Kluyveromyces lactis: one gene and its partners. The protein of the gene in region 1 binds, or shares a complex with, the protein of each later gene. Links are inferred from orthologs where the notes say so. Each region holds a gene or a part of one and is shown in the gene's direction. Other genes may lie near its edges.

Region 1 (4,363 bases):
GAAAGACGTGCACCATCCTATTCCAATAGACAACCATCTCACAAGGATTCTAACAATCGTTTGAAAAGTAGTGTTGCATTGGCTTCTGCTCAAAGAGGATCTGCAGCCATTGTGCCATCGCAAGGTAAGAAGACAACTTTTTAATGTGCGTCAAGAAAACATGAAATATATCAAAATCTTGTATATTAGTTCGAAATAGATCATATACCCATATTTATATTCTCTCATAGGAATATATACTTATCAAAAATAAAGTATAGAAGGACGTATGGGACTGAGGTTCTCTGTTATCATCCTTCTGCTGCAAGTCGAAGGCTGCATCTTGTTTTTCTTCACCGCTCAGTCTCGAGAATCCTTCTCCACGACCGGCGAGCACGACTTTTTTTTTTTTCTTTTACGCATTCGAGAGCAGCAAACAAATATAGAACTTGAAGCAGGTCTACTAATAGAAGCCTTGCATAAGGAGAAATAGGCGAGGGTAACGTCGTCAACTTCTCTATACATCCATCAAGGGACGCTAAGGCAGGACTTATAAGGTAGTGGGTGACGATACATAAGTTGCTAGTTGCTTGAGAAAGGGTGAAGTCGATTGCTACATCATTTTTTTTACCGAAAAACCGTTACAAGCGTAAAGCAGTTGTACCAAGGAAACTATTAAATTTCAAGATCTATAACAGGATCTCACTGGCCAGTTCACCTAAAGATGTTGTTCAACACTACCACTGACGGTACTGATTATTCATCTGTTGTTTCTTCGTCAGATACACTGACAGAAAGTTCGGAGTCGTTCTCACAAAGCGTTGCTAGTTTACGAACGGATTACATCAACCCTGACTCAGGAAATTCTACGCAGCAGCCACATGGTATGAAGACCAGGACGGTTCTGGTATATCCAAACAGATCACATTCGGATTCGGATTCACCTGGCATAGTATCGCCATCTACAGTTTGGGTACCGCCGTCAACAGATGATTCAACGTCGCATACAGATGTAGACACGGCAATGGTGACGGTACTTGAGATGAGCTCAGGACCGAGCAACATAGTAATGCAAACAATTTATCCCGAGAACACCGCGACCCAAGAATACACATCTGTTGAGGGTACAGAAGCTACTGCCACTGTGCCTACACCGACTTGGTTAACGTTGACCACTGAAGTACCGTCTTCTGAAACTGTGGTTTATTACACACGAGATTTCATCTTTACTGACACTTCAACCACCTTTACTAAAGGACTACCGACACTTACAGTGATACCCACAGAGGCTACTTTCACTACACCTACAGGTCCAGTTGTGACTGACACATCTTTTTACGAAAGATGGCTATCTGGCGCATTGGATTCCAACTCAACATCGTCTGGATCAAATAAAGATACAATAATCGGTGGTGTAATAGGAAGCGTGGGAGGTCTGGCGCTAATGATACTGGTGATCTATTTATTATTTAGGAAGAGACGAAGGAGAAATCTTATCGAACACGAAAAGAGCTTCTCCCACGACATTGGGAGAAAAATGGGATACGACGATATCGGAACGTTTATTGCACAGTCTCAGCAAACCACCAAGACTACAACCAGAGTATCGACGACTGCTCATAATAATAACAAAGTTTCAAAAAGTTTGCCCTCAGTGCCTCCATATGTTGCAGATTCTGTCAGGAGGCCACAGACGACAAATCCATTCGACGACGAATATGTTGTATCGATTGCAGATCCAGAGTCTCAGACGCCTTCCACAACATCACTACATTCATCCTTTGTGTCATCTTCCACCGATGAGGGTACACATGACACTGAAATGTCAGTTACTTACGATGAAAACCCACAGAACGCTCACGGATATTTAACGGAACTAATCGAACACTGATCTTACCAAACTCTAATTACAAAGTTTTCAAATTTGTACTTAAATTTTCCCTTCTATTCAATATACTTCTTTGTGCATCTTCAGTTATATAGTTCATATTTAAGGTTTAATTCCTAGCAATTCCACACTAACGCTTTTCTAATTTGTGATCTTACAACCCGTCAAGATAGTCGGACTTCAATATCTTCCTCCACACAGTAGAACCATTCCTTATATCTTCATGCCCGTTCACGATGATTTATATTTCCTAACCATCGAACAAAAAAATTTTGATAATCAAACATTGTACAGAAGAAGGATTGATCAAAGTAATAAAATGCCTACAGTATAATACTAGAGGCACGTGTAAATTACATGGTTAGTTGCAGGCTCTGTCATCAGTTCAACCTATATAAAATTTAATGCTATCGAGGACAGTAACTAGCCTGTTCGGCTTGGGAAAGGCTTCCGGTGTAAGAAGTTTTCAAGCTTCAGCATTGCAGCTACAAAAATCTGCACAAGGTTCGCTATTCGGTGAAGTCACCGATGGAGTGAATCCGTTGAAGGATGACGATCCAAATAAACTATCTAATAAGTTGACTACTGCTACCGAACTGTCAGATGATTTGGATGCTGCTACCCAGCTGGCAGAGGCTAAAAAGAAAGTTACAGCAGCCAATGATACACAATTACAGAAATATATCGAAGAACAAGACCCCATGATCAAAAGTTTACCAGAATTTTTGTTACCAAGAGTTAAGAAGGAATTCTATGAACAACAGGTTAGGTTGAACGGTGGGTTTTACGACAAAAGCGTGCGCCCTAAAGATCGTTCTTTGAGATTAACGAATGAAGAATTAGAAGTGCTTGAACCTAGTGTCTATGTTAAATCTTACAGAGTAAAATCATCTATGAAGAAGGCCACACAGCTGCTTAGACTTTTGAACGGATTGGACGCTAAGAAAGCTTTGACTCAATGTCATTTCTCCGATAAAAAGGTTGCCCGTGATGTTGCCGAATTATTGGAGCGCGGTATTAATGATGGTGTGAAGCTTGGCTTGGATGCCAATGACCTATACATCTCCCAGATATGGACCGGCAGTGATGGATTTTGGCAAAAACGTGTCGAATGGAAGGGTAGAGGTAGACGTGGTCTCATTGAACACCCATATGTGCATATCAAATGCATATTGAAGACCAAGAGTGTAACGAAGAGAAGACTAGAGCACGAAGCCAAACTAAAAGAACAAAGGAAGAAACCGTGGGTTCAATTAGCAGATAAACCCATCAGAGGTTCTATGGGTGGTGTTTACAAATGGTAATGAGATATTAAACATTATCATATTACGTTTATTTCCAATGATAATGGGTGAAGATAATATACAGCAATTAAATCATCAATAATAAGGTCCTTAGATTGTCTTTGGGTTTCATCTCAAGTTATCCATGTCGGAATAGCCAAGTATTTCATATCATTTATATAATATATAGAACAAGAGCTTGTAAATAGTGAAAGCAACGCGAAATACTTCACCGCATCAAACTGTAAGGAAACAAATTTCGTCTATTTCTTCTTCTTAGATTCCGTTTTAGCTGGTTCAGTAGTTTTCTCCGCCTTCTGTTGGTTAGCGGCAGATTCCTTCAATTGGTCTTTCCTCCATTGATCTAATCTTTGTTCATATTCCCAGGTACTGTACCACAAACCTCCTTGCAACACTAAGACACCAGCAAAGACAATTAAAATAATGATATTGGAAGAGGCAACAACAGCAATACCTTGCGCCTCAGAGACTTCACCCCAGTTATGGTAAACCGCAGATTCAACACCGGTCTTGATATTTGTTAAGAAAACACAGATACCCAAAACGTACAAAGCCAATGAACCGTATTCAAATAATTGCAAATCTGGATTTGGCTTGTATACCCTAATCAAGGAACCAATGACTCCCACAATGGCCACCGCACCAAGCATATAAAGGGTTGGCTTGGCCGTGTAGAATAGAGTCTGGTAGTGTTTCAAAGCGTTCTCAAAATGCTCCGGCGTGGCAGCAGGATTGAATAGGATATTATAGTCATATGGTTGATTAGAAAAGAAGATCCCCATCAAAAAAGTAGTTGATCCAATGATCAATGCTGTACCTACAGCACAAAAATCCTTATAAGTTAGGCCCATATTTACTTTCAGTCAATGTGTTTAGTGAGCGATACCTACGTTCTCTTAAAAATGGAACGTATAGACCCTACGTGTGGTATTAAATGGTTAACAATTCATCTATAATTGAGCCATTGGTTTTTTCAGTACGCACTATATATTCTCTTTTTTTTTAATAATTTACATGATTTTTGCCCACCGAATTTTTTTGATTAGTATGAAAGATAAAGGAACTGAAAGGCGGAAAGGCATTATCGGAAGGCGCTATCGATAAATCATTTTAAAAATCCATTGATAAAAGCAGGACGTTTTAATCGATGTCATCTGGGCATAGATTACTTATTTTTAAAAGAATTGATGAG
Region 2 (4,403 bases), on another chromosome or scaffold:
GCACTGAAGTGCTGTTTCAATTCATCTAATGTTTTTGTTGTTTCAAATAGTTTACTCTCTAAGGCTGATATTGTTCGCAAATATGTCTCTGCCTGGGTTTGCAGTTCTTCATTACTATTTTTCAAACCGTTGCATTGTTTCTGTATTTCTGTTAGGTCTGATTGCAGCTTTTGTAGTGCAACCGTTAATAATCTGTTTTGCTTGATAAGGGCATCTGATTCTACTGATTCTATCTGATCAGTGTTGACATCAACGTCTGCTTTTCTTCTTATTAAAATTTCTTCTTTATAATCATTAAGCTCCTTCAAAGCACTTTCATGAGCAATGGTCAAGCTTTCTAATTCAAATATCAGTGAATCATTGCGTTGCTCTGCCTCATCTCGTCCTAAAGTTAATTTCTCCAATTGTTCCTCGAGAAATTGCACTTTTTCAAGCTCTTTTGATCTCAATCCCAGCTCCTTTTCAAACGAAATACATTTGTCATTAACTGACTTGAGTTTAACTTCCAATCTTCCAATGATCTTTTTCAATCGTTCGGGATCTGATGAGTTAGAATTCGTAGTATCAGGATCCTGAAATTGTTGCGAGTTCGGTGCAGAATTTTTATAGATACCCTCTCTTCTACTGAATATACCATACATCCGACCTTTTCTACCCTCACTGAGTTCAAAGTACCTGACTCCCTTGACGCTACCATCGTTCTTCCCTAAGGGTTCATCTAACTCAACACCGATCCAAATCCCCGCTGCAAACTGCGTCTCGCCTATAAACCGTACAGTTCCTGCCAGGCTGCGTAGCACTACCCTATCTCCTAATTCCAGATCCATTGTTTCATTTTAGAACTAAAGAGTAGTTGATCTGGCAGTACTGTAAGGTATTCATCAGTTATTGCCTTCATTTCTTTCAGGATATGTGTTTATGTTCCTTAAACTCAATATTGTCAAAATAATCATAAACATGAAATCTTTAAACATATTTTAAAGAAGTTTCACGAAGTTTACGCGTGCAGCAAAAGAGGTAAATTAAGAGGTTCGATTGACTTACAGCCAAGACTCACAACGGCAAGAAATCTAACCCAATTCGGATCATAGAAACATGAATAACAGAAGGCCCAGTGGACGAGTAGCGAAATCCGTGGATAAATCCACTTTACAAAAGGAATTATTAGAAGAACAGAAACAAGAAATATACGAGGCGTTCTCACTCTTTGATATGAACAATGATGGATATCTCGACTATCATGAATTCAAAGTCGCTCTAAGGGCATTGGGTTTTGAACTCAGTAAAGGAGACATATTAGAACTTATCGATAGGTATGATGCAGACGGACGCCGGTTAATACAATACGAGGATTTTTACCTGGTAGTAGGAGAAAAAATATTGCAAAGAGACCCATTGGATGAAATTAAACGTGCCTTCAGGCTATTCGACGATGATAACACGGGCAAGATCTCATTGAAGAATTTGAAACGTGTAGCTCACGAACTAGGTGAAAACCTTACAGACGAAGAACTACGTGCCATGATTGATGAGTTTGATCTTGACGATGACGGAGAGATCAATGAAGAAGAGTTCATTGCTATATGCACTGACAATTAGTGCTTCACGACCATTTCCATTGCCACAGCTGGAGCCCTGTGCCGCATGTATATCTCACCTTGTATATCCTATGTAACATCAAGCTATAATACTAAATCAAATGCGAAGAATCTGATAGTCTAATTCGGATCACGTGCTTTCATTTTTCCCTTCCAAAAAAATTTGTCGATGAAAAACTTGAAGGAACGGAATCAAGAAAGACATATGTATCAATATGGTACTATGGAATGAACCACAAATGGTTTATGTTCTGTGAAAAGGACGGTGGTATTCGATACTAGAATAAAATAGATCAGCGGGTATGTCTTCATATAAACATTTATCGAAGGCTGGTGCCCGTTTTTTGGAGCAAGTTCAAGCGAAGAACTCTAATATTGCGAAACAATTTGCCAAGTATGAAGGTTTGACGATGCCAGAGTTCTTGAAACCATCGTTGCCTCGTGTCGAAGAATCCGAGAAGTATAAGAGTGTAAAGCAATGGAAATATATGCCAGGTGATAGAGTGGTGATAGTAAATGGAAAGTTTAAGGGCAATGTTTGTGCCATTACGCAGCACGACGTGCATACAAACGGGTATATTTTGGATGAGAATGGACCCACCAACACTGTTCCTGTGCCCAAGCAATTTTGGCAACAGGGGCAGAACAGTCATATGGTGAGTTTCCCTGTCCCCGTGAGCCAAGCGGACATCAAACTAGTCGCTGATCTCGATGATCCAGAGACTCCAGGTGTGGCTAAGACTGTTGCTGTTCGTGACATCGAATTCAAGGGTTCGTATTATGATTCAGATTACAAGAAAATTATGCCATATAGGGTTGTTGTTGGTGAGAACAATATGGTTGTTCCATGGCCTAAGCCGGAGTTCAAGCCAGATGGTGCATTGGCTACGCGTTCTGAAATTGCACGTCAACAAACTTTCTGGGTTGAAAGCGTAGTAAAAAATCCTGTTCCAGAAGCAGCATTGTCAACCATCCGTAACCCTAAGTCGAAATACAGAAGAGGTACCTTGACAACGAAGGAAATATCAAGATTGGTGGCTCCAAAAATGCCTCTAACGGAAGCAAAGAAAAGATACATCGAACAAAGAAAAGAATTGGCAGCATTGCCAAAACGTAAATTGACTGATGAAGATCAAGAATTGATTGGTGACAAGGTCTACCAACACTTCAAGAAATCTTTCGAATTACAATAAGAATAAATAATAGTTTTGGCTAGCACTTAACTGCCATTCGTATCCACGCTACTTGTACATAGATCATAATATCATACTTCATCGCACTTTTATCTGACTTTTTTTTTTACTACATGTTTATTTTGAATGGAAATCTATACGTAAAGGTCATTACTTGTAGTAACAGACCTCAACAATTTATGATTATAGTAATGACTAAATGATTAGATAACTGTTACTAGTTCATAACAAATGGATGAGTGCGGTCCAATATATGTTATAGAATGGAAGGAAAGTCCAGGCGATCAATGGACTATCTCAGATAAATCGGGGTTTACGACTCATTTATTCAAATTAAATGAAGACGCCAACAAAGATATTGTGTACTGTAAACATTGCCGAAAGCAGTTCATCGGCAAGAACAGAGATTTAATTGGTTTCCATATGAACAAAATCCATCCACAAATCACAACTGGAATGACTTATAATCAGTATCTGCAGATTTTCAAACCCACTTATGTACCAAACGCCCATGGTGACGAGAAAAACAGGGAGAACTCGTTCAGCATAGGTCTCAGACCGTACGTTTTGTGTCCAGAACGATTGCCTGAAGTACTCTACTTTGACGACATAGCGACCATTATACATGATAAGTTCCCTAAATCTGAAGAACATTTTTTAGTTTTGCCAAGAAGTCATAAGATCAGCAATTCTCATCCCACCACAATCGACAATGGCATCAAGGTGCAGCTTCAATGGCATATTGATTGGGCTAAACGATTCTGTTGGACTCAATTCATAAAAAAATATGACATAAAAGATATATCCTTGAAAGAGAAAGAAGCTTTCTTGGCGAATTTTGTCCAATCAGGAGTACATAGCACTCCATCAATGGCTAATACACATATACATGTCATGACAAGAGATTTCCATAGTAAGAAATTAAAGCACAAAAAGCATTTCAACTCTTTCAACTCCCCGTTCTTTATACCATGGGATGAACTACCTGTGTTGGACTTGCCTGGTGACAAGGAGCTATCCGAAAGGTATATCAAGAACTTTGAGATGATATGCCCCTATTGTTCCACTAACTTCAAGAATCGGTTTGCAAAGCTTAAGGAGCATCTAGCAGATGAGTTTAATATGCGTTTCGTGTCAAAAAAAGGTTTAATAACTGCAGATAGGGCTATTTCATCGTTTAATAGATTTACTAATGATTCATAATTACGGCAACAATTTTAGCGCTTATACTATAGTGGTTGGTTTTTAATCTTAAAATTATGAATCTACTTGAGATGCCTAAACAAGTGTGTATATTCATTACAACTTTTGATATTCAAGCTTGCCTTCGAGCTTCTTGACTTCGGCAACCTTTCTCACGGCTTTCATTAGATCTTCCTGGTTTATATAATCGCGGTCGTCCCTGATAGCGAAGAACCCTGCTTCAGTTATACAGTTACGGATATCCGCACCGTTAAATCCATCACTCATCTTGACTGCAGCTTCAAAGTCAAATTCTCCAGCTTTTTTTACATTGGATGTATGAATCTTGAAGATTTCTAATCTTCCTGCCTCATTTGGTAAACTGATTTCGATTTTTCTGTCCAATCTACCAGGTCTTAGTAAAGCAGGA
Region 3 (4,663 bases), on another chromosome or scaffold:
CTTCCATTAGTGCTTCAACTGTTTCTGACTCAAACTGTCAAGTTAATTGCGTCGGTTATCCATATGAAAAATGTGGTGGTGAAGGGTACTTTGCTGTCTATTCAACAGAGGATATCGACTCAGATGAAAGTTCCAGTTCCAGTTCGAGCACGAGTTCAAGTTCAAGCTCAAGCTCAAGTTCCAGGTCGACTTCAAGTTCAAGTTCAAGTTCAAGTTCAAGTTCAACTTCTTCCAGTACCTCATCCAGTGCAACCTCAACAGATTCTTCAAGCACTGCCGCTACAACGTCATCTTCTGATACTTCAGGCACTTCTTCTAGCACTGATAGTACGCTTTCATCTTTGTCTAGCTCCATCGCCTCTACTACCAGTCATTCAAAAGTTGTAACAACACAGGTTTCAGTCATTACTTTAAATGGTGAGAGTAGGAGTATTGTTGCCGTTACAACTACAAGTACCGTCGTGGCAACCACAGCCGAAGGTACCAACACTGCAAACTCTAAAACGGAGTCAAATAAATCTTCATCATTGTCTAATGGTGCTATCGCTGGTATTGTTGTGGGTGTTGTTTTGGGTGTGTTACTGATCGCAGCAATTATCATTTTCTTCATCTGGCAACAGCGAAAGAAAAGTAAACGGTCAGACTTCGAGGAAAGTAAGCATTACCAACCTTATTCGTTTGGTCAAGAAGAAGACATCGTAGTCCCACCAGTTACCGGAGGTGGATTTGGCGCTGCTGCTACTTTACCAAACTCTCATTCAGCATCATCATCCTCTGATAGATCTGGTGTAAGTCAAAATAGGGAGAAAAGATTGGATAATAATGGAAACGAAATCAGTGATTCGCAAATCGTTAGTCCGTTTGGAGAAACTATGGATCAACCAGACCTAACACAACCTCCTGTACGTCCGACAATGGGAAATCCTAGATTCAGCAATGGTTCTTTACCAGATGTAACTCAACAAAGGCGACCGCTAAGAATCGCCAATCCAGATGAGCTGGATGATGAGGATACAGAATTCAATTCGATCATCGAAAATCTCAGGGGAGATTGATCCTGATACAATATAACATCATCTTTTTAACACATTTCGCTAAGATAATAGCATGATATACCCAATATCATCCCCTTGTTGTTGTCAAACAAAACAAACGCCAAAAGGAAATATTCCAAATATAAAACATCAACTAAGGCCCACAATAAGCCATGTTCCATACTCACTACTGATACTTGATACCCCTAATGAAAACTATCAACTGAGGATCAGTTAATTGTCTAACACTATAAACAAGACAAGTCACAAAATATATCGAAACGATTTATGTTATACTGATAAGTTGGGCTTTCACATATGTACATATATAACGTTATAATACTCATTTAATTTCTTCACATTTTACTTCAAGGTATCTTTATAATGGTTAATTGTCATGTTTACTGTCGGGAATTATTGTGCTACATTTTCATCTAGGGTAATTGTTTAAGGGATCCAAAAAAATGCTTCCAACCAGAGTCGAACTGATGATCTCCACATTACTAGTGTGGCGCCTTACCAACTTGGCCATAGAAGCTGTTTCTTGTCATAAAAAGAATTTACCACTATATACTCCTACGAGATTATTGCCTGCTACCAATTCTTTTCTGGTGGACCTAACCTATTTTGAACTGAGGAATACGCAGTTTATAATGTTACAGCTACATTTTTGAAAAACGTGATGCTAAAATAATAGTAGGTTTACTGAAATAGTTTCGGCTGTTTCAATTTGTCAATCTGCTAGGCGCATCTAAACACTTACATCAGCATTGCATACCCTCTTATCGTCTCCAAGCTCCCTCTGTGTCCTAGCGAATCTCAGCATTTTAAAAGGTTACCCGAATACCTAATTTCGAAAATTTTTTAGAATGAATATGGTTAACTTACAAGAAATTACTGGAGATGATTTGGATATTCAATGAATCTACTGGATATCTACTATTATCGATATTTAATAGCCCTATCTCGAGGTCTCACAATACTAGCACGATGTTTTCGATCAACAAAGTGGTGAATCCCTTTGGATCACTTATACAGAGATCATTTGTACGCCAAATCACGATCCTTGGTGGTTTAAAACCTGGTGAAGGCTCTAAGAAGAACTACAAAAGATTGGGTAGAGGTCCATCCAGTGGCAAAGGTAAGACTGCTGGTAGAGGTCAAAAGGGTCAAAAGGCCCGTGGTTATGTAAAATCATGGTTTGAAGGTGGTCAAACCCCAATCTTCAAATTGTTCCCAAAGCTAGGGTTCACCAACGTAACATCACTAAAATTGAAAGAATTAAACCTTGATAGAATAACGTGGTTCCACCAAAAGGGTCGCCTACATTTGGAGCCAGGTGAAACCTTGACGATGAAAAAGATGAAAGAAATCGGTTTGGTTACCGGCCCGATCAAAGATGGTATTAAGATTCTAGGTGATGGTAAATTCTCTTATAATCTTCCAATCAAGATTGAAGCTACTAGAGCTTCACAGGATGCAATTGAGGCAATCGAACATGCAGGCGGAAGTTTCACTGCTCGTTATTTCAACCGTCTTGGTCTAAGAGCCCATTTATCACCACATTGGTTCCTAGAAAAGTACGGAAGAGTTCCTCTACAAGCTAGACCCACAAAGAGGAAGGATATTGAATATTACTGTAACGAAGAAAAGAGAGGTTATTTGATTATGGAAAATGACCCATACTATCAACTTTTGCAGAAATCCAAAGATGAAGGCGGTAAAAATTTGGTTGCTCGGAAGACCAAGAAGTCCAAGCTTGAGTTGCAATTAGAGCAACTTGAGAACGATTTTGCTCCTGCTTCTCCAAATTCTGAAATTAAATCAAACTGAACATCATATAGCAATATAGAAATGCCCTGTATATAATACACATCATTCAACGCCATTTCTCCAGATTTATACACCATATCAATCAAATTGATATCTGTATTCACAAGTTGTAGCAACTTTTGTCTATTTAATGCTCTAAAGTCTAAAAATATAAGAATGAGCTTGTCTCACTTTTACACATCGTTTTGTGGAGTAGAAGACTCTGTGTTTTTGTTGTCCAACAATCTTTCTTCGAGAACCTGTAGGGCTAACTTTTTCCTTCTTTCTTCCGCTTCAGAGCCTTCAACAGGCTTAGCACCCCTCTTTTGAGCCAAAATGTTAGCTTGTTCGATATCGTATACTCTAAACGGAGTTGCAATACGCCAATCAACAATAAACTTCTGGTAAAGGTAATCAAATATTGGCTCAAGTACTGGTTTGACTAAATCCGGGAAGAAATATATCAATTGGAATGTCTCAGAGGCATCTCCTACCACTTCAAATTCAGCATCCTCAGCCATCGAAGCAGGTAGCCTCTGATAGAATCTCAAGTAGAAATAACAGGTGAAAAAAGTGATCCAAATTGATAATAACTGAGAGAAGTGGTGGAACCACAGAAGTTGCACAAACGAAAGCACAAGTAGAGTAAATATTGGCAGGAGTTTAAATCTGAAATTCTTGGAAATGAAAGGTAGATTCTTAGTCTCGAAAATGGTAGTTTCTGGGAATAACTGTTTGTAGATAATAGGGAACCCCACCAAAATTGTATAATTACCATCCAATGGTAAATCCAACCTTATTGCTGACGAAAACATTGATAAAATTATTGTAATTAGAACGACAATTAAGTTCGTAATGGTACCCAAGATTAGAACAAATTTGGCCAATTCTCTAGGGCTTTGCCAGAACCTTTCAATGAATGAACCACCTATAAGCAAATTAAAGAAGTTTAGCAAAAACTTCCATGGTTCTATGTCGACTAAATTGGAAAATACCAATGAAAGTGGGTTATAGAAAACCCTATTTGGCACCATTTGGACAAATGGAACGATAACCAATCTTGGATCCATATCATTGGAAAGTGCCTCCTTGATGTACCGAGTTCTGACAATTGATAAAGCAATAGTCCAAGCAACGTATGTGAAGGTCAACCAGCCAGTTGCTGGTGGAATTCCACCAAGATCCAATGCTGCATCAGGGAAATATATATCGAAATGTCTCGATACAAACTTCATTATGGTGTAAATTGAGACACAGTTGGTGTTCGAAAAACGACACAGCCAAGTTTAGGAAAGAGATGGTATCCTGAACAAATAGGAATTGCCTCTAAATGTTGTAATGCAGAGGTTCAATGTCACTTCAAAACTAATGTTATAATAGGATATATATAAACATAAATTGATGAAAAGCGAAGATCTTTTTAAGTCAAAATATGATATGGATTTTCAAGAAAAAAGACACCTATGAGAAACCGCATTCAAAACTTTAGCTGTTGAAAAGGCTCTTTCAATGTGGTAATAACGCTGTGTTTGGATACCTCTAGATGTTGAAAATCCAGAAGTTAAATTCAAATTTAGAATGGACAGAATGATCAGCTTTGCGGGGTGTATTGCACATTCCGTAGACGCGTTTCCTTCGTGGCTTTTAAATCACAACATCTCATGGCATATGCGCAGAAGTTGACATTAGCCTGAAAACCAGGAAAGCAAAAAGAAAACACTCACGGTGGGGGTCGAACCCACAATCTTCTGATTAGAAGTCAGACGCGTTGCCATTACGCCACGCGAGCCAATAATGATACACACACACTGTTGATC
Region 4 (4,130 bases), on another chromosome or scaffold:
GTTATGTCTTTGCAAGAAATATTCAAACAGGTTACCCACAAATTGTAAAGCAACATCTTTAAATGCGTAAGTTGGTCCATGGAAAAGCTCTAGGACATGAAGATTTTCATTAGAGCCAGTGACATTCTTGGCTAACGGGGTAACATCATGAGAACGGAAAGTAGAGTAAGATCTAGTAATCAAATCCTTTAAGTCGGCTTCTGGAATTTCATCTGAAGAAACATAAAGTTTCATGATTTCAAAAGCTAAATCCTGGAAGGACAACTTAGACCATTTATCAAACAACTCTGATTTAGAGACTTGAGGAATAATGGATGGGATAAACAAACCACCATCCGAAGCTAAACCTTGAATAATAGCTTCCTCAAAAGTTTTGGTAGCAGGATCGGATGACCTCGTAGATCTATAGCTTTGTGACATTTTGATTTGGTCTTAGATTGGATATCTTACCTTATTGGAGCCTCTGCCTGATCTAATCAACAACTAACAAGTGTTATTCTCAACTATAAACTTCAACAGTTTGCTTCGTGGTAAGTTGATGAAAGCAGAGGTTTACAGATGACTCAATACAATTTTCAATATTTTCTGAACGATTTTAATCATTTTAGACGATTTCATAGTACAAATGTTTTCTATACGGTTGTTGAATACACGAAGTATGGGCCCGCTCTGCGAAGAACTACCAAGGTATACGTTGTATACGGTATACATATATTTATGATGAAAGCGATAAAATACTGAATGAAATTATTTCATTCTTCCGCTTGAAAGTAGAACTCCAATGTTTTCAAAAAGAATTGAATCGTTGTCCTGGTAGAATTGTGATCTTCTCACTGTATCTTCATTGAAGCCAGCATCCCCTGATAACACTTTGAGAGCCTGCGATGACGATTCCATGTAATCTTGTAGCATTGGAACTGGATCCTTAGCTAGTTTATCAAAAAATTGGTATTTCTTTGCGCTTGAATTTAGTTGTAGTTGTAATAGTTGTGTTTTCTGATTTAGTTCTTGTATTTGTGGTTCGATTGCAGTTGATAGCGTATTGTATTCATTCAATAGCAATAATTCATCCTTTGACAACTTTTGGTCGCCTTTAACTGACGTTGATTTAGGTACTTCCATGTCAAATACCAAATCTCCGAAAGTGGAAGACTGATCTACACGAATAGTATAGTCAAGTCTTATTGGAGGTATCGGTTTTACATGATCTTTCACTAGACTTGGCAAATCGGCGAGCTTCAAAGAAACAATGCCTGCGGCAAGCCTTTCTGGAGACACTAGCTTTGCTAATGAAGCATCCATTTTCACTAAGACTTTCTCACCGTTTGTGGAATCCTTTGGTCCCGCCTCGTCGTTATTCGTCAATAGACTGTTTAATAGAATATATTTGTAAAGAGAGTATATCGCCTCATGAAAGGTTCCTTTTGAGAATCCGACAATACATGATAGTTCTGGTGAATACTGTAAGAACTCCCCTGTATACCCTTTTGGTTGGATAGTGATGGTACAGTTAACGTTTTCAGTACCCTTACGTGAAACATCAACACCGTCAAACTCTACAGGAGTATTAGGATCCACATGCCATTCAAAAACGGTTTGCTCATTTTTTGGCTTTTTAGCACTAGGTTCCTGTGTCCCTTCTAATAAGGGGTCTCCCATTTCTTGATCAGTTTCATCATCTTGATCTTCCTCTACAGGTTTGAAATCTATCGCGACGCTTTCTATAAAGGAGGAAAATTTAGGCCTATTTGGATCGTCTGCCTTCCCATTATCTAACAGTCTACCTTCAATACGCAATGTCCATGATGCTTGATCAAGTTCCATGGTCTCATCGTTCGTCTGCCATGGCTGGTTCTCAGAAATATTAGAAATGAAAACACGAACAAACTGATTATTCGCAGGATCTGTGTATTTGGAATGAGTCCATTGAGTAATATTCTGATGCAAATCAATTTTTTTACGACTTAAATATATGTCAATTCTCTTCTCAGCCTCTTGTAACTTACTTAGCCCATCCAATTCTGGTATTAATTTCTTCAAATACGGTTGGATATACATGTCAGTTGGTTGTGCAACTGGCACAGTTTGTGCCTGTTGATGTTCAACCGTTGCTCCACTCTGTGCCGCAGACATTTGATTTTGATTTTTCTTTAATCTCAATCTAGCGGTAGCTTAGTTTATTCTACTAGGAGGTAAGCAGATGATATGTCTCATCTATACAAGTTGATGCATGTAAGTTAATGTACCAAAAGCTAGTGAATGCTTTGTTTAGGTTGATTGAATAATTCGAAAAACTGATGTTGAAACAACGAAAGCACCCATACACCCATACACCCATACAATACTTTATAGCGAATCGTATTAGGTTAGATTGTATCCATTACGCAGTTCATTTATAAATAAGTATTTCAAAGGTTACAAACACGGAGTAGTACAGTATGAACGGCTGTCACTCGCTAAACCAATCTTTTATCTTCTTTTTATGTACACATCTTTTAACTAGGCTGGCACTTAGATATGATTTTAAAGCTTCAAAAATTTTTGATAGTTTAAAATCACATTAGAACAAGATCAATCTAAAAGTTAACCATAAGCAGGGAATTAAAAATAGCGTCAATTGTGTTTGAAGTGCTATTCCAATAACTGCACACGCTCCAAGGGCTTTTAAAATATTACAGCAAAATGTTCAGACCGACATCATCGTGTCTTTCTGCCTTAACCAAACGTACAAAGAGAGTACAGGTACAGTTATTAAAAGATTTTCCTCAGTTCCAATTTCATACCGGCGAGGTGGTAAATGTCAAGCCCTCACTAATGAGAAACTTCTTGCACAACTATAATGGAGCCCGCTACATTCTAAAGGAAACTGATATTGACCAAGCCCTGTTGACCTCAGCTAAGAGATCACGTGCATCAGCAGCAGCTTTATTAAAAACAACCGAATCAACGGTGAAGAAGACTGAACAGAACGTAAAGAAGGCTAAGCAGGTATCCAAGGAAGAAAATAAGACACCAGAAACTCCTAAGTCAGCATTAAACGAAGAAATAACTATCGAGAATGTGAAGATTCCAGGATTAGACTTATGATAGTAAATGTTTTATCTTTTTTTTCCTCCTTACGCGGATCATTTGAGATACCAATGTCTTACAAAATAATAATGATCATGGATGTTGTTCGTGACGTCTCGTCCCCATTGCGGTTCAGAGGCACATTCATACACTTGTACATAAATTACATTAAAATAACTTGCGAAAACAATAAAGAAAGTTCGTTGCATCCAATCGCTACCAGTTGAAGTAATAACGTGGACAGTAGATCTGGATGATTCATACTAAATGGGGATTGACAAGAGAGTTATTACTACAGGAACGCTCATCACCTGGACGAGCATATTTCTCTTGATCAGCTTTAACTGTTGCTTTGGAAATAAAGAGACGAGAATGAGAAACAACCCCAATAGTGATGAACTTTCTAAATTCTCATTTTCTGTTTGTTTCTCAGACGTCTTTCTCTCTTTTCTCTTTTCTTCAACTCCATTTTATCAAGTTCTTGGTCGGTCAACTTGTCTCTCATATCCTTTCTCTTTTGTCTCTCAGCTTCTTGTTTTTTTTCAAGAGCCATTTCTCTTTCAACCTGTTGCATGACTTTAACAATCTTGCCTAACTCTTCTTTACGCAATTGAATACCCTTCTTCAAAATATCAGTGGTGATGAAAGAATTGGATGAGTTAGTTTGAATATCCTTAGTAACATTGTCATAAATTTCGACAACTTTGGTTATCAATTCCTCCAACAATTCGATATCTTTGTCAGAAGTTACCAAGGATAAGTAGATGACACAACGTGGCAATTGAGAAGACTCCCATAATTTGTCAGTAATCGGTTTCTCTTCTGGTAAATCAGTGAAAGAAATAAACTTCAAGAACTTGGCAGATTTAGATAGCAACACCTTGAAATCTTCACCGGCATAGTGAGGAATAAATCCGTTCAACTTATTTGATTCGGACATGAAAACATAGTCTGCTGGTAAAGATTCATTTTCAGCGGTATGGGTCAATGATAAAAAGTAGTTTGAGTCACGAGCTTTAGTCATCACTGCTTTGTTAACGATAGATGTGATGAATTTCAAT
Region 5 (4,133 bases), on another chromosome or scaffold:
TACACTAATTTATTCGCATACATCTGCTCAGTACAAAAATGGGAGGACAACAGCACCGTCCAATTTCTTAGACTTTAATTACCAGTTGGTTATACGTGATGTAGTATTATAGTTAACTAATGGGGTTTATAAATCCTAAAAAGAGAATGTGATATATAAAAAAGAGATTAAGAGACGTTTGACAAGTAGAAATAGAGAGACATTACCAATTATCAATAAGATATATGGAAATGAAGCGACATTTTACTAGGGCAGGATTCAAACCAGTGAAGAACACAAAAAAAATAATTGGCACAGCTCTTGCGTACCGGTAAAACGCTACATTTTTTTGAAATAAAGACGCCGTTTCTTCTAGAAGTCTTCCCGGCTCTTTTTTCCACCTATTAACGCAGCATTGTTGTTGATGTCTGAGACATGTGTGCAGAAGTTCTAGCGTTGGCGTTCTCCTTCAAAGCAATCAATTGCTTGGATCTGAAACTTTCGTAGTGGATCAAAGCTGTAGTCTCAATCAAATCTTGCAAGTGTGTCCTGATCAAAAATTCTCTTAAATATACGAACTCACATTGGTTGATGTCTTCGACATTGATGGCACCCCAACGAGTTTTTCTTCCTCTTACTAGTTCACCGTTCACTGTAATCTCCTTTTCAGATCCTACAACGGCAAATGGAATAATAGATCTTATACTTTTATTCAGTTCCACTTCTTCATCGGTCAGATCGTCTAAATCATATGGATAGATTCTGAAATTGTACTTTTTAAATTCTTCTTGTAAGATGTTTCTGAAGTTAGCTCTCTCATTCAACGTCAAAGTATCAGCTTTAGCGATCACCGGGATAACATTAGCGATTTCTGTCAATCTCTTCAAAGCAGCAACGTCAAGTTCTGTTAGACCCTTACCGTTAGGTTGGATGAAATATAACACTGCATGTACTCGAGTGTCTACAATGTGTCTTTCACGTTGAGCAGTCAACTCTTTACGTAAATATTGAGAGTGTTGCTCCTTGATGTACTTGACAATAGGTTCCCAAACTTTGTCGTTATTTATCTGGTCACCAAAACCTGGAGTGTCAATCACGTTCACGTTCAAACGTACACGGTCTTCCAATAAAGAATGTGTTGAAACCTTGATCTCGGTGGTCTTACTAATTGGTTCCTGAGTGATGTCCTTACCAGTAGAAGAATCAACCAAGTGAGATGCAAACAAAGTGTTGATCAAAGTACTCTTACCCAGACCAGAATGTCCAACGACCATAACGTTGAATTGAAATCCTCTCTTCAACAAACGATGTTCAATCTGTGAAGTAATCGAATCAAACCCAACATAAGAAGATGGATTTACCAAAGCCAACCCATCAGAAGAAGAAGTCATACCAGCTGCAGCAGTACTAGATGCCATTGTTTTTGTTTATGCGTGTATTTTACCTTTAATAATTCCTTTCGCGTAGTAGAGATGTATATAAGTCAAATCCAAATGATCAAAGCTTTACGTGTTTTAGTGTTTGGAAGTTAAAATAATGAAAAACCTCTAAGTTATAAAAACAATTAACCGCAATAACAAAAATTCAAACAATGAGTAGCAATTAACCACAGAAACGTCAAAAAAAAGTAATCACAATCTTACTTATTCTAAAGAATACAAGATCTGATTCCTTACTTATATTTTGTTGACACACTTATTTCGTTTCGAGTTCCATTTTTAGTTTTTGTGATTTTTCGTCTTTTTCATCGAAATCGAAAAAGGGACACAGATCATCACCAAATCAGGGTAATGTTGAAAATTCTTTCTTATAATCCAATTCGTCAATACCAATTTGAATTGACGAAGTTCAAACAGAGTTAGACGAGCGACCTAGAGAAACTAGTATCTGTCCCTATCGATTGAACTTATCCTTTCTCCTCTTCATCATAGTATCATACCAGCAGCGAAAATAATTAGAGGATGTCTTTTGGAGCTGTAACGGAATCTTTTAGCAGAGTGTTGCTGGAAACAGCGACATCAATATTGCCTCGTTGGAGCACTCCAGCAGCTGGTACTGCATTGCCACAGAAACTGCTGGAATTGCTTGAAAGAAACCAACGTGAAAAGTCTTCACCTCAAGCGGATTACTTTACGAATAACGGGATCCTTCTAGCTGTGCCCAAGAAGAAAGTGTCGCATCAGAAGAAGAGACAAAAGTTATATGCGCCTGGAGACAAACAGCTGAAAATGATCAACCATTTGAACAAATGCCCTTCATGTGGGCATTACAAGAAGGCACATACGCTATGTATGCATTGTGTGGGTGAAATCCGTCACATCTGGAAGGCTCACACTAACGTTGAACAAGTGGAGCCTATTCAAGAACAAGAGTTGTCTGAATTGGACAAGCGTATCTTGTATCCTGGTAGAAAAGAAACTGAATACACAAAGAAACTGAAGGACAAGGATGCTTATTTGGAGAGACGTATGAAAACTCTGCCAGTGGAGAGATCTGAGAAGAAAGAAGGATCACATTAAACCCTCTTCTCATTGAATCCAGTACAAAATAACACATCGGCGGAAATGACTAAAAAAAAACAACCTTTTATCAAGTTCAATCCCCCCATCACCTTGTATATATATGTCGAATACACGTCCCAGATTTTAGCAGGTTATTTCAGTGTCAGCATTCACCTCCTGTAGTAATAGTTAGATTCATTATCTCATCACAATCAACTCTACATAGAATCAAATCACATACAAAAATTTTCCTAGAGCAGGCTTGATGCCAGGCCTAAAGGCGTGAAAATCAGTCGAGAAAAGATCAGATTGAAAAGAAAAAAATCATGAGTGAAAAGATTTGAAGTAGCGATGAGATGAGATGAGGTGCGAATACACGATACAGGATTAAGCAGGACCTGAAAACTGGCATCAGTTTAACAGTTTGGTCTGATATTGGTTGTTTTGTTTTGTTTCACTTTAAATTGACAATAAGGCTGACAATTTTCCATACAGTATGACAACGACACGACAGTTCAAGAAAGTGAAAAAGGTGCCAAATTACAGGATTCCTGTATTTACCAGCATCCCAACGCATCCGTTAGGGGTAAAACCTAGCGGGAATTCTTTATTAGAGGGTGCAGATCCTCAGGAAACTAGAAAGCTTAGGAAAAAGCTGTTAGGCTCTCTGTCAGTGCTACCAGAAGATCTTATAATCGAAATACTCGCATATATCGATGATCCAAATGACTTGCAGAACCTCGGATGTAGTTCTAGGATCCTTTACGCGTACACCTACGATGAGGAACTATGGAGAAAGATTTATACCAAGGAGTACTTGAAGTTGGAATCGGAAAGTCCAGAGCAAGAGCGTATTTCGCCGTTTGGATGTTCAAGGTGGAGGGGCTCGTGGAGAAAGACCATCTTGAAAGTAGACCAAGAAGCATTGATACAGTGTCATAATATTCTGTTCTCTGACACCTTATATAGACCATATCAATGTTCTCAGATCGATTATACAGAGCTTTTCAAAAAAGTGATTGAATTCGAAACGAGTTCGTATGAGTTAGGTACATGTCTGAACACAGAGTTTGGAGTACCTAGAATGCAAGAGACAGAATTTGATGTGGCAACTTTCCATGAAGAGTTTATCAATAAGCCTTTCATTCTTCAAAACAAAGATGGTATTACCTCGGAGGGGAAACCAAGATGGCCAAGATGGACGTTGGACGATTTAGTCGAGAGATATCCCCATGAAATATTCCGCCAAGAAGCAGTGAAATGGGACCTCTCATTATATTCCTACTATTTCAGAGAAAATAGAGATGAGTCGCCTTTGTACCTTTTCGATTGTAATAGCACTGCCTTAAAGCTGATGAGTAAAGAGTATGCTCCACCTTCCATCTACCATAACGATTTCTTCAAATTGTTCCAAGAAAAAGGAATCAAATGTCGACCTGATCACAGATGGCTAATTGCCGGTCCAGCAAGAAGCGGATCCACTTTCCATAAGGATCCGAATCACACTTCTGCATGGAATACAGGCTTGAGCGGCATGAAACTATGGGTAATGTTACCACCTGGAGAAAACCCACCCGGTGTGATGACAGATAAAGAAGAAGAAGAAGTTACATCGCCTGTCGGTATAGCAGAGTGGATTATCTCGGGATATTA
Region 6 (3,746 bases), on another chromosome or scaffold:
CACCAGCACGTAGGGATGGTGGCACGTATCTGCCAGAGCCAGAGCCTCCTTGAGCGCTCATATCTCCACCACCGATAGCCGGGTCTAAACCAGCAGATGTAGTAGGTTTCTTTCCCAAAGTGTCTTTGTACGGACAATGCATGGTGAAATGCGCACCACCACAAATTCTACAAGTAATTACCTTTTGAGTCGAGTTAGCAGCCTTCTCCTTTGCCTTTTCTTCTTCCATTTCCTTCCAGTTAGGAGACAAGTCTAACTCTAATTCTTCACCTAATTGAGTGGTTGAAATATCTGGTCCTGGGGCAGCTCCCTTATCAGCACCATATTTCTTCCAATTTCTTCTCAAGGCGATGTTCTTGTTAACTTTCTCGGTGACAGTAATTTCCTTAACCTTCTGCGTAACCTTGTACTTCTTACCATCTTGGATTTTGAAACTGATGACGGTTTTGGAACCATCGTCATTCTCGATGATTCTTGGTTCAGGAATAGCTGACATGTTGTGAATCTTTGTATTATCTCCTTAAAAAAATAGGATTGTAGAAAAAATTCCTTTAATTTCTAGACGCGTGTTATACTATCAACAATTAAGAAGCCCAATTCTGATTTGAGGTATGTCAAATATCCTCCTTTCAAGTTATGGGTCTGTAGATAATCTGATCGATATCAATTAATTCTCTTTGAAGAAAAAAACTTCGCACAGATGATAGTCTCAAATTTTTGTTTCAGTTCTTTATTGAAACACGTAAATCGGATACACTTGGCGCAGTATACTCCTTTCTTCTATCAAACAGCTGGATGAAACCCTATGCACCTTCTAGGGTCACCTTACCATTACGTTTATTTTAGCAGGTAACTTAGAACTCATTTGAATTTCCATTTTTTTCTCTTCTCTTTCGCTGATTTTGCCTCTGTCTCTATGCGATGAGCTTTGGAAAATTTTCAAAATTTTCATCAGTAATGTATATCGTGTTGCACGGGTGTAACAGAGATCCGTAAGCTCCAGCACTAATTAGTTACCTTAATTATACCGTACTGTGTACACCAATCAATTCAGTTAATACCTTCTTGTTGATAAAAGCGTAGAGTAACTATATGCGAATACTTAACTTGACTTGTGAATATGTATCTGTTTCACGTGATATGAAGTACGGATCATTTTTATGTATATTGCATATTCATCAAAACGTATGTAGTGATTTGACAAAATTTTGATTATCCATTACTTCTTCTTTAGCAATGTATCCGACCCAATCAATACTGAAAGTAGTGGGAGTTCATCAATTTCTGCATAGGACGGTGTATCATCGGAAAGTATTAAGGGCAGAAAGTAATATTATCCTGCGTACTTCTCTGTCTCAAATTCAAATTCAAGGAATTTCACAGAGCTAAGGATATCATATATAAACTGCAAACGAACAGGAAAACGATGGCCAAGGCTAAGACAAAGACTACAGTTATCAAACTGATATCAACTGCTATGACAGGTGTGAGCCGTCATGTCACGATAAATAGAGCTGCACCATTAGTGACGCAGGTGAGGTACGACCCTGTAGCTAAACGTCATGTTTTGTTCAAAGAGGCCAAGAAAAGAAAGGTTGCAGAGAGGAAACCATTGGACTTCTTACGTACCGCAAGACGTTAATGAATTGTATTTAACAATTTAACCACACCATTTGCATGTATATAGAAAACACTCACACTGCAATAACTACCGTTGAAATAGACGTGATTTAAGAGTTCTATAGTAGTATCGGTTTGTAGTAAAGAAACGAAATTTTTAACTAAATTACATTTACTTAATTCACTTATTTAATTGGTTTCTGAGACTAATTTGGGCAAGACTATATATACAACATCCACATCGCGTGGAGTAATTTGGAGATAATAAGATGAACAATTGATAGGTTTGTAAATTATCGTGAGGCAATAACTTGTATGATTATTTCTAATTATTTCCACCCCACGTACTTCCACCACCTCTAGCATCCTGATTACCCCAAGCAGATCTATTGCCGCTATTGTTGTGTTGGGATGCATTGCCCCATGCGGATCTCTCTCCTGAGTTATGCTGCGATTGATTGTTACCCCAAGTGGAACTTCCACCGGTGTTTTTAGATCGTTGTGATTTATTACCACTGCCACCCCAGGCAGAGACACCTCCCTGGTTACCACCCCAGGTAGAAGTACCTCCATAGCTTGATTTATTGCCACCGCCCCAGGCAGAAGCTGCTCCTGATTCTCCGCTTGCTGCCCAAGAAGAGGCGCCTCCATAACTAGATTTATTACCCCAAGTGGACGCACCACCCCAAGTTGATGTAGCACCTTGCCCACCCCAGGTGGAAGTGTTTCCAGCAGCTCCACCCCAGGCAGAAGCACCACCAGGGCCTTGTCCGCCCCATGTCGAAGCACCACCCCAGGATGAAGTTCCTCCGTTCTGGCCAACCGCAGGAGTTTTACCGCCATCAAATGCATTCCAACCAGGAGTCATTCCACCAGGAAGTTGTTGCGGAGTGTTCGTTGCCACCGCACCACCGGCAGCCATGTGTCTTGGTGCACTGACATAGCTTGGGCCCAATCTGGTATGTGGAGTTCTACCACGTCTACTAACAAGTTCATCGTATGTTATACCTTCACCACCTTCATGACTGAAGTAAGTAAGTTTTCTTTTGTCTATTGTAATATGCTTATTTTTGGAGTGCAATTCAATAGTAGCCTTATCTCCATTGACGTCTTTGACAATACCCAACTGCCCCTTGTATCCCGCAGAACGTATCCTAACAGTTTTGTTCAAAGCGACGTCACGGCCAACTAACCGCGTCTGCTGAGTAGTTTGTGGTGGTCCCATCTTAGACGCAATATTTGGATTTATTTTAGATAAATCCAATGCTGACGACATCAAGTTTTCTTTTGAGGCGACAGCCTCGACATTCATTGGATTAACAACGAAAACACCGGCATTTTCCGTTATTGTTTTCGATCTAATGAAAATATGTTGGTTTTGAACGTAGAGTACTTGTCCCTCTCTACGGGAACCGATCTTTTCTCTTACTACATCGCCAATTTTTATTTCTCTACCATTACCATCGACAGCAGCTACTTTCGCTCTTGCTACATTGATCTTGGCAAGAATTGAGCCTTTAGTAACAGTAGCCACTTTACCGGAGTCGTCAATAATCTTGAAAATATCATGTCCAGCCTGGATCACACATGCCACGTTTTTGGCACTTAACTCAACAATGTCATGTAGAGCGTACTCGCTTGATGTCGGAGTAGAATCCATAGATTTACTCAAGTTATTCGCAGAGATTGTCAAATTTTCTCTAGTTTGGTCAGAAACAAATGTGACTTGACCGTTCTGCACCAAAAGAACCAAACCAGCGTTACCTTCATGTTCACCAGCTATTACTGTGACATGGTCACCAAGTTCGAAAATTTTTCTTAGAGATGCAATTGGGAACTCTAATGATTTATCTGAAAAGCCCGATAGTTTAACGCTGATGACGTCTTTAGAACTTCTAGTCACCACACCTCTAGATCCACGTTGTTCCCCGGTCAACACTTCAACACGGTCACCTGGTTGAAACATAGCTTTAGAAGCTTGAGCTTTTTTCATAGTTTGAGCAATAGCTGCTAGATCGACATCACCTTCTTTACTGCCGAACCTTGATAATTCTTCCACCGTAGGTTGGATATTCTTTGTATCAAGATACTGAATCTTAAAAGATTTGAAAAGATAACCGTCAACA
Region 7 (4,050 bases), on another chromosome or scaffold:
AGACAAAAATCCAAGTACGACTAGACAACAACGATGAGCATGACTCGTCGTACGGTGGAGATTTGAATAAGTTTAGCAACTACATGTCAAATCAGATTAAATCCGGCTTAAACATGGCTGACAATGCCGAGGAAGAAGACGAAGGAGACGAAGAGGAAGATATTTGGAATGGTGAATCATCCAACACATTCCAACCGCAAGTCCCCAATAAAACCTTCTTCAACAGCTCCATGTTCCATTCCCACCAATTTGATCTGTCACCTGACGATGAAGAAGATTATTTAGATCCTAACGACGATGGGCAATCTTATGCAAAACCAAACCATCCTTTATACTCCAGCATGTTATCACCGGGTGGTATGCCCTACGATGCACCAGACGAAGAACTCAACGATCTTGATGTAAACGACGATGATGAGGACGACGACGAAGATGATTTCGATGCTGATACTGATGTTGGAACACATAGCGGCATTTCTCATCGTTCGAATGAATACTCCCTGCGTCGTACTTCCAGTAATGATAAGATCCCTTACGATCTCGCTGAGCAGAGTAGTAGAGCAATGGGAATGCCTGCTTTGCAAAGATCAAGCTCACATGATACAGATTAACAATGCAGCCTTATCCCCAAACACGAATCCTTATCAACACAAATTGATATATAATAAACATTTACTTTTCCTCTGTTTATCGTTAGTTCAAGTAGTAATAATATTAATAATAGTAATAGTAATAATAACATACGAGTAACACTAATTCAAATCTTAATTCTCATGTCATCAATACATACTGCAATTTGTTAATTTGGGTATTGTTGGATTTCTCTTCCTTTTCGTCTCAATGCATCACTTAATTTTATGAATCTGAAACCATGAATTCTTGTTATTGACAAAAACTGGTCTGTTTAGAACCGAACTGGATCTTAATAAATTGAACCCCGAAGTCCAAAGAGCCCACCAATACACTTTCACACCCAATGGCATCATCTAAGGCTTCTATCTTCTCCTTCCTTCCTCTTTACAACCTACTTTCTGCTTCTGCCTGGGCTTATGTCCTATATCAAGTCGTGACCCTTTACCCAAAGATCGGTCAACCAAGTTTCTTTATTGCTACCAAGGATTTAGTCACGTACGTTCAATGCGGTGCTATAATTGAAGTCACAAATTCTTTGTTTGGAATAGTCCGTGCTCCGCTAGTGACCACTGCTGCTCAAGTGGCCTCTCGACTCTTGGTAGTCATCGGTATCTTCCAGTATGTGCCGGAAGCAGAAAATGCGCATAAAATATATTACATCACGTTGTTGTCGGCATGGTGTATTGCTGAAATAGTGAGGTACATGTTCTACTTCTTCAACTTGGTGGCTCAAGCGCCTACTGTACTTGTTGTATTGAGATATAACATGTTTTACGTGCTATATCCATTGGGCGTCGGCAGCGAATTGTTCATAATTTATTCTGCATTGCCGTTGGCTGAAGCAAAATACAATATCTTGTACAAGTATTTCTTAATTGCAGGTATGCTAGCCTACATTCCAGGGTTCCCGGTGCTATTCTCACACATGGTTGCCCAAAGAAGGAAGGTCATGAGATCCTTGAACGGTGATAAACGCAAATCTGCATGAATTGTCACAGGATTAAAAGAATAGTTTGACTCATGTATAAAAGTTCTGTAACATTTGTAACATACCCGAATGAATGCACAAATGAAACGACGCTGTCCCTTGGCGTGGCCGTTGGCTCTTCCTTCTCATGACTGTGTGTGTGCCCTACTTTTCACGTCACGTCACGTGACTGACATCAACACTTAACTCTCGAAGGCTCAAAAAATTTTCTGTTGAAACAGTATACGACTAGTTGAACAACATTTAAGACAAGTGAGAAGAAGCAGATTGAAAGGGCTATTGCATCTGCCAATTGTCGTTCGAATCAGTGCAGAAACGATGTTCAAGAATATCAGTCATATGTTTGCCCTCCCAGTAAGGCAAATGGTGGGTTTCAGCCCATTTCTTCAACCTTTGAAGAGAAGTTTCATCAGAACAACACACTCGGTAGCAGAAAAAGCGAAGGTGAATTTAACGCCGTTGAAGTTATCCAATGAGCTATATGCCGTATTCAGAATACACAACAGACCATACTTGGTGACAGAAGGAGATAAGGTTATCTTACCGTTTAAACTGAAGCAAGCAGAGGTCGGCGATGTGCTAAATTTGACTGATGTGACTACCATTGGTTCTCGTAACTTCAAGCTCGTGGACGAACCTATTGATCCATCTCTATACACTATTAAGGCTACAGTTCTTGAGAAGACAAAACGCCCGCTTAGAGTGAGAGAAGTTACCAAGAGAAGAAACAGGAAAGTGCGTCATGCGGTCAATAAAGCCGATTTGACTATTCTGAGAATATCCGAGCTAAAAGTCAATTAATGAACTAACCCTCCTACAAAATCGTGTAAATAAAAGTTTAATATAATGTTAGGTCGTTATAGATCGATTAGAAATACTATACCATCTAGTAACTATGTTTTAGTGGCAGCATCTCATCGAATTTGTTAGAAACGTTTACCGTTTTAGAGAATAGATATAAATTCAAATAGAAACAATTGTAATTAATACCATTTTAATCGTTAATAAAGAGGGGAGAAAGACGATAAGAGAAGAGCTTAGTGCAACAATTACTGGGTATCGATACTTTAGTATCTGATAAGTAAAGTCCCGCTAAATATAGATGAACCGTGGATGATATGTCTTTCTTGAAGAAGAAGAGTAGCACTGCTGGACATTCAAGGTCAGGATCTGCCTCATCTATACTCAACAAACATGTTGATCCTGCCAATATCAGTGAGTTTTATCCATCGTCATTGGATCACAAGGTGACCAGTGGTTTGAAGAACGATTATAGTTTTGATTCCAGCAGCAAGGGATCCAGGAAGTCCTCTGGTGGGAGCACCAATTCGTTAACATCTGAGCGACTATTATTCAATTGGGATGTCACTGATCCGAGCCAGTGGACGATGCCCAGGATAATACAGTGGTTCAGAGCTAACGATTTCAACGATCAGTGGATTACATTTTTCAAGAGGAATAGTATAAGCGGGAATAAGTTCTTGAAACTTCTAGCTTACGATAATTTTGCACCATACGAGAAGTCCTTACAACAGTCCAAGAGTTCAAGTTACGAAAGGTTTCAGTACTTATTGAAGAAAACGCTGGAAGAAAACGTGGTGAAGGGAAACAACAGGAATGGTAATCGGATTATCAATAATTCAAGGTCGTCGAGTGAGTCTGCTAAGGTCAGCCAAAGGTTATCGACATCTTTTTCTACCCATATAAGAAGTACATCAGAATCGGCGCTGTTGAATATTGAGAATATTACGAAAGACAGTTCTTCTAGTGAACCTACCACATCAAAAAAGCAAGAAGCAAGCAATTACAGTTTACCCTTGAGGCAGGCAAAGACCAATAGCGCAAGTGCATTATATAGACGAAGCTTGATCAGCTTACGAAATGCATCATCTACGAAGGATAACGCATCTAAGAATGATATCAAGATAACTATACCCCCAAGACCTCTATCTACGACAGAAAATACTAATAAATCACCGACAACACCATCATCTGTTAGTCCCTCTCATACAGCTTATACCGGTATTTTCAGGCGACAACATAAGACCAGTTCTTCGGAATCCTCCCTGTTTACTTCGATTTTTGGACATGGTGTGGTTGAAGAGCCTGAGGAAACTCCTAAACCCAGACCAGTTGAAAATAGAAGGATTCCTGCCGCATCTACAGTAAATGCATCTACTTCGAAACAGTCGATTAACGTAGATGATAAGGCTAGGTTGTGGGATAAAATTAAGCGAAAGGGACAATTACCGGCAGAACCTTCTTCTCAGCCAGCAGCAAGAATAATCATAGAGGAAGTTAAGGAATCGCCAAAGGCGGAACCACCAGAAATTGTGATACCTGAAGAAATATACCCAAAACGACCCTCAGATTCGAGGGAACTCTTCATTATGTTGACGAAAGATAATTCAACTTTCAGTCCGTTCAAC

What was found.
Region 2: MRPL22 (region 1) and MRPL40 share a complex: the UniProt entries of both Saccharomyces cerevisiae proteins name them as parts of the mitochondrial large ribosomal subunit. The link is inferred for Kluyveromyces lactis from reciprocal best matches to the Saccharomyces cerevisiae genes MRPL22 and MRPL40.
Region 3: MRPL22 (region 1) and MRPL10 share a complex: the UniProt entries of both Saccharomyces cerevisiae proteins name them as parts of the mitochondrial large ribosomal subunit. The link is inferred for Kluyveromyces lactis from reciprocal best matches to the Saccharomyces cerevisiae genes MRPL22 and MRPL10.
Region 4: MRPL22 (region 1) and MRPL50 share a complex: the UniProt entries of both Saccharomyces cerevisiae proteins name them as parts of the mitochondrial large ribosomal subunit. The link is inferred for Kluyveromyces lactis from reciprocal best matches to the Saccharomyces cerevisiae genes MRPL22 and MRPL50.
Region 5: MRPL22 (region 1) and MRPL32 share a complex: the UniProt entries of both Saccharomyces cerevisiae proteins name them as parts of the mitochondrial large ribosomal subunit. The link is inferred for Kluyveromyces lactis from reciprocal best matches to the Saccharomyces cerevisiae genes MRPL22 and MRPL32.
Region 6: MRPL22 (region 1) and MRPL39 share a complex: the UniProt entries of both Saccharomyces cerevisiae proteins name them as parts of the mitochondrial large ribosomal subunit. The link is inferred for Kluyveromyces lactis from reciprocal best matches to the Saccharomyces cerevisiae genes MRPL22 and MRPL39.
Region 7: MRPL22 (region 1) and MRPL49 share a complex: the UniProt entries of both Saccharomyces cerevisiae proteins name them as parts of the mitochondrial large ribosomal subunit. The link is inferred for Kluyveromyces lactis from reciprocal best matches to the Saccharomyces cerevisiae genes MRPL22 and MRPL49.

What each region holds. Positions count from the first base shown.
Region 1 is NC_006040.1:701,184-705,546, forward strand, and holds MRPL22 (mitochondrial 54S ribosomal protein uL22m), read left to right. Parts: upstream 1-2,271; coding exon 2,272-3,171; downstream 3,172-4,363. Other genes in the region: NOP13 (Nop13p), read left to right, coding at 1-144; TDA7 (Tda7p), read left to right, coding at 704-1,870; SHR3 (Shr3p), read right to left, coding at 3,414-4,022. UniProt on the Saccharomyces cerevisiae protein: Component of the mitochondrial ribosome (mitoribosome), a dedicated translation machinery responsible for the synthesis of mitochondrial genome-encoded proteins, including at least some of the essential transmembrane subunits of the mitochondrial respiratory chain.
Region 2 is NC_006039.1:834,053-838,455, reverse strand, and holds MRPL40 (mitochondrial 54S ribosomal protein uL24m), read left to right. Parts: upstream 1-1,900; coding exon 1,901-2,791; downstream 2,792-4,403. Other genes in the region: NIP100 (Nip100p), read right to left, coding at 1-827; CDC31 (centrin), read left to right, coding at 1,096-1,599; HNT3 (DNA 5'-adenosine monophosphate hydrolase), read left to right, coding at 3,023-3,994; proteasome regulatory particle base subunit RPT4, read right to left, coding at 4,091-4,403. UniProt on the Saccharomyces cerevisiae protein: Component of the mitochondrial ribosome (mitoribosome), a dedicated translation machinery responsible for the synthesis of mitochondrial genome-encoded proteins, including at least some of the essential transmembrane subunits of the mitochondrial respiratory chain.
Region 3 is NC_006039.1:1,032,149-1,036,811, reverse strand, and holds MRPL10 (mitochondrial 54S ribosomal protein uL15m), read left to right. Parts: upstream 1-1,937; coding exon 1,938-2,867; downstream 2,868-4,663. Other genes in the region: WSC2 (Wsc2p), read left to right, coding at 1-1,055; KLLA0_C12111g (uncharacterized protein), read right to left, coding at 3,041-4,081. UniProt on the Saccharomyces cerevisiae protein: Component of the mitochondrial ribosome (mitoribosome), a dedicated translation machinery responsible for the synthesis of mitochondrial genome-encoded proteins, including at least some of the essential transmembrane subunits of the mitochondrial respiratory chain.
Region 4 is NC_006039.1:790,397-794,526, forward strand, and holds MRPL50 (mitochondrial 54S ribosomal protein bL9m MRPL50), read left to right. Parts: upstream 1-2,682; coding exon 2,683-3,087; downstream 3,088-4,130. Other genes in the region: threonine synthase THR4, read right to left, coding at 1-420; RSC6 (Rsc6p), read right to left, coding at 748-2,133; KLLA0_C09086g (uncharacterized protein), read right to left, coding at 3,473-4,130. UniProt on the Saccharomyces cerevisiae protein: Component of the mitochondrial ribosome (mitoribosome), a dedicated translation machinery responsible for the synthesis of mitochondrial genome-encoded proteins, including at least some of the essential transmembrane subunits of the mitochondrial respiratory chain.
Region 5 is NC_006042.1:1,181,495-1,185,627, reverse strand, and holds MRPL32 (mitochondrial 54S ribosomal protein bL32m), read left to right. Parts: upstream 1-1,940; coding exon 1,941-2,498; downstream 2,499-4,133. Other genes in the region: septin CDC10, read right to left, coding at 384-1,397; KLLA0_F12804g (uncharacterized protein), read left to right, coding at 2,977-4,133. UniProt on the Saccharomyces cerevisiae protein: Component of the mitochondrial ribosome (mitoribosome), a dedicated translation machinery responsible for the synthesis of mitochondrial genome-encoded proteins, including at least some of the essential transmembrane subunits of the mitochondrial respiratory chain.
Region 6 is NC_006038.1:66,297-70,042, forward strand, and holds MRPL39 (mitochondrial 54S ribosomal protein bL33m), read left to right. Parts: upstream 1-1,426; coding exon 1,427-1,642; downstream 1,643-3,746. Other genes in the region: TIF35 (translation initiation factor eIF3 core subunit g), read right to left, coding at 1-496; transcription elongation factor SPT5, read right to left, coding at 1,946-3,746. UniProt on the Saccharomyces cerevisiae protein: Component of the mitochondrial ribosome (mitoribosome), a dedicated translation machinery responsible for the synthesis of mitochondrial genome-encoded proteins, including at least some of the essential transmembrane subunits of the mitochondrial respiratory chain.
Region 7 is NC_006042.1:1,308,382-1,312,431, forward strand, and holds MRPL49 (mitochondrial 54S ribosomal protein bL21m), read left to right. Parts: upstream 1-1,939; coding exon 1,940-2,422; downstream 2,423-4,050. Other genes in the region: SAP185 (Sap185p), read left to right, coding at 1-611; enoyl-CoA hydratase PHS1, read left to right, coding at 977-1,621; mitogen-activated protein kinase kinase kinase BCK1, read left to right, coding at 2,740-4,050. UniProt on the Saccharomyces cerevisiae protein: Component of the mitochondrial ribosome (mitoribosome), a dedicated translation machinery responsible for the synthesis of mitochondrial genome-encoded proteins, including at least some of the essential transmembrane subunits of the mitochondrial respiratory chain.